Linked DNA regions of Caenorhabditis elegans. The protein of the gene in region 1 interacts with the protein of each later gene in a pairwise test. Each region holds a gene or a part of one and is shown in the gene's direction. Other genes may lie near its edges.

Region 1 (5,103 bases):
GATTTTAGGTGAAACAATTGAAACATTTATATCTCTTTAGTTTTGAAAATTATGAAAAACTTGTTAACTGGCAAATTGAAACCAATTTTCCAATTTTTTAGGCAATATTTTGCTAGTTGGCAATTTTTTGATAGCTCCCATGGTTACTGAGAAATAGGTGGTTCAAATTATGGATATCCCTGTACCCGTGAGATGTCGGCCGCAGCGTGGAAAACACGATTTGCAGCGGACACTTTACTGGCTTTTACAAAAACTCCGCTACCGCCCGCCACCGCCTGCTGATGCCCGCTACCGGCCTGCTACAGCACCGCTACCGCCCTGCTACAGCACCGCTACCGCCCGCTACCGCCCGCTACCGCCCGCTACCGCCCGCTACCGCCCGCTACCGCCCGCTACCGCCCGCTACCGCCCGCTACCGCCCGCTACCGCCCGCTACCGCCCGCTACCGCCCGCTACCGCCCGCTACCGCCCGCTACCGCCCGCTACCGCCCGCTACCGCCCGCTACCGCCCGCTACCTCCCGCTACCGCCCGTGAGGTGTCGGCTGCTTTATTAACTTTTTCATTTTCATATGCGTCTTGTTCTATCAAGCTTTGTCGCATAAATTCCGCTCAAATTTCCTGAGGGTACATCTTTTATCGCCGACCCGCACCACGACCGCCATGTGCCATTTGTCTCGATAGTTTTATGAGAAGAACAAGCACTTTCCATGTTGACATATGTCATTTTGCCACCACCACACACACACACATATTGATGATGAAGACGAACTATTTGTTCGTTTTCCGATATCATTTACTGCTTCCGCCGCCGTGTTCCTAGTTTTCGGGAATTTTTTACTAAATTTGACATACAAAACTGCTCCCTTTTTGAAAAACTCGGCCACACCATCACTATATAGTCTCAGCTCATCACAGATTGGCGAGATTCGAATTTCGCGCGCTTCTCACATTACCAGGGCTTTCGAGTGGGGTGGGTGATATTTGAAAGAGATGACCACCGCCACTATTATAGTTAGATTTTGAGATGAGGAGTACTAAAATGCATGCAATTTTGGACTCATATGTATTTTGTATTTGTGATTGAAAAAATTGTATATCTAAAAAATGACCCGAGTTATGATTCTTCCCGCAAGTTTACTTTTTTTTTGAAAAATTTATTTTTCCCTCACTTTCTTCGCCTTTTTCTCATTGTTAAGTCGATTTTTATTGTTTAAAATTTATATAAAAATATAGATAAACCAGTCGTTTGAATTTTCCGCCAAAATTGGTTTTATCAGAAAATTAAAATTCCCGCCAAAAATTTTTCTCAGAAAATTTAAACTCCAGCCGATATTTTTCTATATTTCTATTTAAAAAAAAGCCAGAAAAAATTAGCAAGCTTATTAGAATAATAGGATTTTTGAAATTTTCCTACCCCGACTCTATTTGAAATGGTGGCCGAGTTTTGGTTTTTTCGGCCACCACCCAAAAATTCTGGTATAGTACTACTACTACTACATAATATTGTGACCTCTTTCAGCTTCTTCATACATACACTTTCTCTCGCCCCATTCTTCTTATTCTCATATATTTACGTTCCATTCTATTCATTCACTCTCTCGTTTTACCCTATTCACCTTTTCTCCCAATACGCTTCGTTTTTTTTAAAATTTTCTGCAATGATGATTTTCAGAATTATTTGAACTATTGACGTCTACAAACACACGCCTGGGACTCACACAAAATGCCTGACGCCTATATGATGGGCTCGACGGCAACGCTCAATGCTCGTCGGCAGTACAGGTGAGAATTGGGCAAAATTTAAATATTTTTAAAAATTTATAAAAATTAGCTCAATTTTACCGGCTGATATCTCGGTTGTTCCAAATTTTCACAAAAAATTGTCAACTAAAAATGTTGCCCAAAAATTTCTGAAAAATACGTCAGTTGGCAGCTTTTTAATATTCCTAACCATTTTGGAAATTTGCTGGTTTGAAATTGGGTAGTTTTTTTTCAGGTAGAAAATATGTTCGATTAGCCTAACTTTGCCGGTTCATATCTCGGTTGGTTTTGGTTTTATCAAAAAATTGTCAACTAAGAAAAGATTTATTTAACAATTGTCTATATTTTTGTAATTAAAAGTTTATTGATATTTTCAAAATGAGCTGAGATATTAGTAGTATAAGTAGTAATGGTGCTCAAATCGGGCAAAATCAACAATATTTCGAAAAATCGCACAATTTTTAAATTGAAAAAGATATTATATAGAACTATTACTTGTTTAATGACAATAATATTCTAACTTTAAAATTTTTTGTTACATGCCTACGTGCCTACCTCATGCCTGCCTTTCAGTTGAAGTAATTTTTTGAATGTTCAACACTGAAACAGTGAGAAAAAAGGGACCAGGAAGTAGGGACGAGTGTAGGCCTGCCTATGAGGTATATACTGCCTGTTCATGCCTGCCTGCCTACCACCTAGTTTCTGAACATTCGTAAACTTTCCAATTAAATGTTTTGTTTAAATACCTGTTCAACTAACACTAAATATAATCAGGAATGATTTGTAAGTAGGCAAGAGTGTAGGCAAGGTGTAGGTACAAGCCGCCTTGTAGGTAGGCGTATGTCGCAGGCCTACCTATGCCTTCCTACCTACCGCCTAGTTTTTGCACATTTCTCAACTTTCCAATTAAATATTATTTTTCAAATATCTGTTCAACTAACACTGAATATAATCAGGAATATGTGTAGGCGCAGGCCGCCTTGTAGGTAGGCGTAGGTCACCTTGTAGGCAGGTAGGTAGACAATTTGTAGACATATACCTTCTTATAGACATACAGTTGGAGGCAAACTGCCAATTCAGGTTCTCTCCCGATTTCTCCCAATTTCCATTTAGCCACCCAAATGGCATGACAGTTCTCGAAACTAATTTTCTTTTTTGTTATTATATAAAATGCCTATAATTCTTTCATTTCTCGACGTGAAATCCAACGTTTCAAGTTTTCTTAAAACTGATTTTTTTAAAAATATTTTTTGTTGGAAAAATCAAAATAATAATATTCTAACGTATTTTCCTCATTTCCAACTCTGATACTTTCCGACAAAAACAGTTTTCCGAATCCACGTTGGCATGTTTGGAGTATTTCGCAATCCAATATGTTTTATGAAGGCAAAAGGGTTAGTTTTTTAGGGTTGCGGCATGGGGAAATTTGCAGAAAAACATGTAAAATGTACTATTTTGAAGCCAAAGAAAACATCTTAAAAGTTGAAAAATAGTTCCAAAAAATTTTAAACTTTCAGATCGGTTGCATTTGGCACGTGGAAAGTGGGCGGAGCCAGGAATATGACGGAGCGAAGGTCCGAGGAGCCACTTTCAAGACTGAAATGGTTGGTTTTTGACTTTTTTTTCTTAAATTTTATCGTTTGTATGCTAAAAATGTACTGAGAATTGAAAAATAGGATATCGATTATTTGAAACAAATTTTTTAATTCAAAAAAAAAAAATTCCGAATCGATTTTGATTTATTTCAAAATATTTTAAAATTGTGTTGGAAATTCAAAAACAAGTGGTGGTGCCAGGCTGCCCCCCATTACGGCTTGATCTACAAAAATGCGGGAATTTTTCGCCCAAAAAATGTGACGTCAGCACATTCTTAACCATGCAAAATCAGTTGAGAACTCTTCGCGTCTCTTCTCCCGCTTTTTTTGTAGAAATATGTAGATCAAACCGAAATGAGACACTCGGACACCACGTGAAAAAGTTTAATGTATTTAAAAATTAAAAAAAAAATTCTGTGAAAATTGAAAAACCGGAAAAATTTTTGAAAATAAAAAAAAAAAATTAAAAAAAAATTCCAAAAAAATAAATAATTCCAGAGTATTGTTTTAAAAATTCGTTTAAAAAATCCTAAAAATTTAGAAAGTAATGAAGTTTGAAAAAATGGAATTTTTTGAAATTTCGGTAATTTAAAAATAAATAAGTGTGAAAAAAAATCAATTTTTATAAAATTAAATTTTTTGGCAGTTTCAGCAATTTTTTTGAATGTTCTAAAACATATAAAAATCCTGAAATTGGTGGCCGAATTTTCTCCATCATCGGCCACTCTAAAAAGTTTCAAAAGTTTCGAATTCCCCCCCCCCCCCCCCCACTTCGGAACACGAAGCGCATTTTAATGGTGGCAAATAGGATTAGGTGGATAACAATGGGATTGCCCCCGGTTGCCTGTACAATCCTCTTTTTTTCACGGCAAAAGGTAATCCCAGTATCCCCCGATGACTGGTTTTCTCTGCGTCTCCCCCGTCCACCCTCACACTATCGGGGTCCATCCCGTACTAATTGGCCATTTCCATGCCTATTCTTCTGCTGCTGCTGCTGCAACCTGAATCTACAATTGTGTTTCATTTTTCCAGTAGTCGTACTATGTTATGTGTTCATTTCTTTATATATATATATATATATATATATTGTCTTCTCTGCCCTCTTCGTCTGAAATGAGGTGGAACCGCTCTCAAATAAAGAAGACGGTGATTGAGTGGTGGAATTGACGTGATGAATAAGGAATTTTATGAGATTGGACCTAATTTTGTATGGAATAGGTTAAAGGGACATTAGGGGTTTTGATCTACTTGGGTTGGGGGAAAAAGAGCAATATCCTGTGAACGTCCAGTCCTGCCGGGCTTCGGTTTTTTTTATAGAAAAACCGAAAAACGAAAACTTTTGCTCGAAAAAGTGCAATTTCTGCTGTTTGCCCCCCGAAAATTGAAAAATCGGAAAAAAAACGGCCCGCTACCGCCCCGCTACCGCACCGCTACCGCCCCGCTTTCGCCCCGCTACCGCCCCGCTACCGCACCGCTACCGCACCGGCAGTCTCTAAGTCGCTCATAGACTCTTAGTAACACTCTCAGACCTTTACAGTACCCTCTTTCCCCAAAAGTAAATCAAATTTCCCTCCCAAGCCAATTTCAATCGTCCCCAATCACATTCTGCAAAACGGATGAAGATCTGAATGGACAGTGTCAGATAATCATCGTCGTCATCTCAAGTTAAAAAGTGCGCGCCTCCTCCACCATCACCATTTTGTCCTTGAATTTGAAAATCTAACGGGGATGGTGAAAACGTCTCAA
Region 2 (5,345 bases), on another chromosome or scaffold:
GATTATTTCATCACACTCAACTTGTCAAGAGCTTTCATTTAAGTATAATCATGCCCCACTTTCCTCCATTTTCACAAAAGTTGGGTCTCACAGCGCGGGGTACTGTAGGCTCGCGGTGAGACTCGGAAAATTTCAAATTGGAGCAAAGTAGGTCATGTTTATATTTGAATGGAAGCTCTCAATGAGCTGGACTCAATTTTTACGTTGATTTTAAAAGATTAATAAACATAAAAATTTTAGGGATTTATGAAAAAAAAAAATTTCAAAAAATTTCAAAAAAAAAATTACCCCAAATTTTTTTCGACCAAAAACCGATTAGATATTCATAATGACACTAAAACCAGGTATCAACTCCTATTTTTCCGCCACTTGATAGCGGATCAGAACATCGATAAGCGGATCCGAAGAGGAGCTATTTCAACAAAGTCAGAGCTTCGAGAAGATTTGTTGAAAGCTACTTGTTTTTATACATAATTTATAGTTCTAAAATATTTTCTGAAAATTTCTGAAAATGATTTTTCAGGAAGTTTTCAATAGTTTTTTACCGAAAAAAATCTTTGAAACTCTACTAAGAACTTCTTAATATAAAAACTCGAATTCTTCATCAAAATTCTAGTCAAATTGGCCCCCATATTGAGCCATTTCCTATAAGTTTGAAAAATAGGTCGCGGTGGCTTCGCTGGGTAGAGGTTGGGCTGACGCGCGGAAGACAGGGGTTCAATCCCCGCTGTAGGTGAATATTTTTGTGAGACTTTTTCCATCTAACAAGAAAAGAATCTCGAGTTGGAAACTAGGTTGAACCCTGTATGTGAAATTTTTGGCCCAAAAAACCGGAAATTTTCAATTTTCGCCGCGATGGCTCAGTGGCTAACAGGTTTGGCTGTGAATCTCGACACCAGGGTTCGACCCCAGCCGGTCCCAAATTTTTTTTCCGGTACATTTTTGATCATATGAAATGGGTAAATATTGTCGAAAAAAATTTCCAAAAAAAAATTAACAACAAATCCTCACAGCTAATACTTAAGCAACAAAGCCGCTCACCTATAAATTATCTTAATGAAAATGAAAAAAGAAAATCCGCCCCGGCCGGCACAGAAGAAAAAAATTATTTAACAGATTGAGTTCACGGCTCCGCTAAACACCGATTATCCCCCGGTAGCGGGGGATATGATTTTTGGGGATTTTTCAAGGATTTTCTATACTTTCCATATTTTGATGAAAAAAATTTTACTCCATCAGTGTAACTTTTTTGACAAAATTTGTGAGAGTTACATTTTTGTAAATTTTTTCCAAAATAATGAAAAAAATGTGTGTAATGTCAAAATTACTTTAAAACAGGGGAAACTATGTTAAATTAAGCTGTGCAAAAATGTTCTGGTGCACGTTGGGGTCGAGCCCTTGACCTTCTGCGCCATAGCCTAACATGTACCCAGTTCAGCACACATTTTCACGAAATTTCTAAAAAATTTCAAAATTATCTTAATTAGGCCAATATGGGAGTCACGTTGAAATTTAATGGAGAATTCGAATTTGACGTTTAATTTACTAAAATTTAATTTTTTCAACGAAAATTACTCGACACATGGAAAGTGTTGAAAACTAGTTTCTAGCTCGAAATTTTGTATTTTTGTCACTCAAAAAATTGCAACAAAAACTTATGACCAAGCTGGGACTCGAACCCCTGACCTTCTGCACCATAACCCAGCCTCTACCCGATTGAGCCACTTCGCCCCATTTTCCGAAATTTTTGACAATTTAAAAACTACCGAAATAGGTCAATATGGGGGTCATATTGACGGAAATTTTTTGTAAAATTCGAATTTTTAGGTTTAAAACGTTTAAACCCAAATGCTAAAGACTTAAATGTTCGTTTTCCTCAAAAGTTGTGACCTTTTTTTTTGCAACTTTGTTATACCAAAACCGCAACACATAGTACAGTTCCCCCCGCCCCCAAAATTCGTTCCGCGTTGCTATTAGCATACAATGCCCCCCACGGTCACTCACCTCTGTGTGCACTCTCCCGGTTTCGCGCACTATTTCCCACGCCGCGCGCCACACCGCTTGAAACATATTTCCAGTTGGTCAGCAGCGGCTGACTGACCGGCGGCGCGGTGATAAGGGGGAGAGTCTCCAGGAATAACGGTCTGAAACACCTCTCACTGTACTACTATATTATTCTCTCTTGTTTCTGTATACTCATGTACACTTTGCCAAAGTGCTCTGATCACCCACATCGTCCCCTTATTCTAGAAAATTCCACGTCATCAACTGGGCTAATATTTGCTGAGAGTCAAGCTTCAGCATCCCATCAAACTTGGATTAATATGGTGAGTTTTCTGAGGAAACGTTCATTTTTGTACATTTTTTAGGTTTTACTGAAGAACTAGCACTCAAATCGAAAATATTTCGGTACTTGTGTATTACATGTCCTCATTTTTAAATTAAATTAAACGGTTACTCGTGAATTTTTAGCTGCGAATCTCCAAAACCAAGCTCACGGCGAGCTCTCAAAGATCCTGAAAATAGCACTTTAACGAAGTAGTGAAGGGCCAATTTTCCAAATTTACTTTGGTAGCTCATATCTCAGCGGATAAATTTTTTACCGAAAAGTCATCAACTAATATGTTGTTGATATTTTTGTAAAGAACAAGTTTGTAGTTGAAAGTTTTTGTCAAAAAAATTGTTGTTTCAGATAGAAGCGCATGAAGTGCGGCAACTGCTGCTATTGCGATTTTAATGCTTTTATCTAAAACAAAAAACTTTTGGTAAAAACTTTTAACTACAAACTTGTTCTTTACAAAAAGTTCAACAATTTATCAGTTGATGACTTTTCTTTGAAAAATTTATCCGCAGAGATATGAGCTACCAAAGTGAATAAGGAAAATTGCTTGTTTTGATCGTAAAGTGCTTCGTTACAGTGCTATTTTAGGATATTTGAGAGCTCGCCGTGAGCTTGGTTCTGGAGATTCGCAGCTATCGAATGGCACAGGTTTCATATGCAAGTCCGATGGGCACCTTCTGACGGTTCCCTAGTTAGGAAATTTTATTTCCTAAGCCTAAAAATCCAAAAGTGTGGTTCACGTTTTTATTTTGCACAACTTAAAAAATTACTATAAAAATGAGGGCATGTAATACACAAGTACCAATATTTCAATTAAAATGTATTCAACGTTAAATTCTACACCAATTTACCGCACAATACAAAACAATTTCTGAAAAAAACTTTTTTTCGGGACAATTGTTTAAAAAATTTTTAAAGGCTAATTTTTCAATTTTTCAATTATTTTATTAAAACATTCGAATCTTCCGTCTAAAATCTCTAAAATCCGTTAATTTACCCCCATATTGCCCTATTTCCGATAAGTTAAATTTGGTCTCGGTGGCTCAGTCGGGTATCTGTTGGTCTAGACTATGACGCAGAAGACCGGGGTTCTAGTCCGGTAGGAGGGATTTTCTTTTTATTTTGATTTCTTGTACAAAATAACATGTAAAAGTCTAAATTATGGGAGTTAAAAAAAGATTTACGAAAAAAAAATTCTAAAATGAAATTCCTGTCACTCTAAAACTGTTTCAACCATCAAAACAGTTATAGTAAAAAATAAAAACCACAACTGGGCTCGAACCCTCGACCTTCTGACTCAGCCTAACCTCTGACCAGCTGAGCCACTGGGACCCAATTTTTTGACTTTTCTAAAAATTTCAAAATTTTTGTAAATTGGTCAATATGGGTGTCAACTTAACGGAAATTTCATGGAGAATTCGAATTTGACAATGAATATCTTTTAAAAAAATTCTCTGAATTTAAAGTTTGGAAAAATTGTCTTAAACAGGCTAATTAACTGGAAAGTTTATGAAAAATTATAATTTTCTTATTCCAGACGCTGGGTGACCCTTGCTCCGTCGAGCAACCCCCACCTCCACCCATCGATTTCTCACGGAGCCTAATTGCTCCGACCGCTATCAAACAAGAATCTCACCTAATTCCCTCAACGCCAGGTAATATTCTAATTAATTTTTTTCGAATAAAAAATAAATATAAATATGTTCAGGCACCCCAACAGCTTTCCAACCCCCACAGCATGCGAACACACCAATCCCTGGTATTCAGCCGAATTTGTTCAATCCGGCAATAATGGCGGCTCAACTAAACGTATTCAGCAACCCACAGTTGATGGCAATGATGCAGGTAAACTATTTTCTGCAAAAATGAGAATTCGGCAAAACTGGCAGTGCAAAAATAAAAAAATAAACTTCCCATGCCGGGAATCGAACCCGGGCCGCGTGGGTGAAAACCACGAATCCTAACCACTAGACCACATGGGAGGACGAAACGAGGAGGTCTCGAGTGCCTAGAGAAGAGTGTGCGGGAGGGGCCTGCTGACTGTAGCGGAAAAAGTTATATGGCGGGGGCAAAAAGAATGTCCAATTTTTTTCGAAAAAAAAACGAAATATCTCTCAAATTCTCGACCCTAATGAAAAATTACTATGTGTCTATGTGTGTGGAAGGTCATTCGATAACCTTTTTTTTCCCTCAAAAAAATATCATGAAAGGTTTGATCTCGTTTTCAAAAATATTTTTTAACTTTTGCCCCAAAATTTGTTTTTTTTTTGTTAAATTCTCCCTTAAATTTTTGAATTTCCAGGCTACCAGAAACCCATTGTTAGGACACCCGTCAGTTGTCGGTCCACCAATGATGCCAAATATCATTCAACAGCTAAATGCCCTTCGAAATGTTCAGGTAAAAAAAATGTTGCTCAAAGAACTTTTTTTCAAAAAAATTTTCCAATTTTTCCGATTTTCTAGGATTCCTTTTTATTTTAACACACTTTAACTATCCAAACAAACCTTGAGAAAAACATTTTCCCTTACTTGGGCTCGAACCCCGGTCTTGTGCGCTACAGCCCAACCTCTACCCAGTTGCGCCACTTCGATCCATTTTCAAAAATTTTAAAATAATTAGAATCCGGTCATTATGGGGGTCAAATTAACGGAAATTGCACGCAGAATCCGAATTTCGACATGAAAAACAATGAAAATCAATGCCTCAACCTAAAAAAACACAAAATTTTAACTAGAATTAAAACAATTTTAGGTTAGGACTTGGAGTTTTTCAAATCATTTACTAAATTTTCTGCGTATACCTAATATTCCAATACCCTTTTTTCCAAAAGTTTGGACTACAAGGACAGTGTCGCGAGCGCGCGCGCTCTCTCTAAAAACAGGTTTTGATCACCGGTCGAATTGTAGCTCCGCCCACTTTCCGGGGTCCTCAGGTGACCTCTACGCTGTTTGGCAACTTTCTAGATTAATGACTTTTACATCTCTTTTTCTCTGGGTGTGCTTT

What was found. The genes of interacting proteins can lie anywhere in the genome.
Region 2: the proteins of ZK131.11 (region 1) and nhr-41 interact in a two-hybrid assay, tested with the Caenorhabditis elegans proteins (one large-scale study listed by BioGRID).

What each region holds. Positions count from the first base shown.
Region 1 is NC_003280.10:13,790,556-13,795,658, forward strand, and holds the start of ZK131.11 (TORC_N domain-containing protein), read left to right. Parts: upstream 1-1,673; 5' UTR 1,674-1,724; coding exon 1,725-1,783; intron 1,784-3,279; coding exon 3,280-3,366; intron 3,367-5,103.
Region 2 is NC_003282.8:1,383,965-1,389,309, forward strand, and holds the start of nhr-41 (Nuclear Hormone Receptor family), read left to right. Parts: upstream 1-2,250; 5' UTR 2,251-2,324; coding exon 2,325-2,327; intron 2,328-3,878; coding exon 3,879-3,996; intron 3,997-4,049; coding exon 4,050-4,186; intron 4,187-4,251; exon of another isoform or gene 4,252-4,323; intron 4,324-4,643; coding exon 4,644-4,739; intron 4,740-5,345.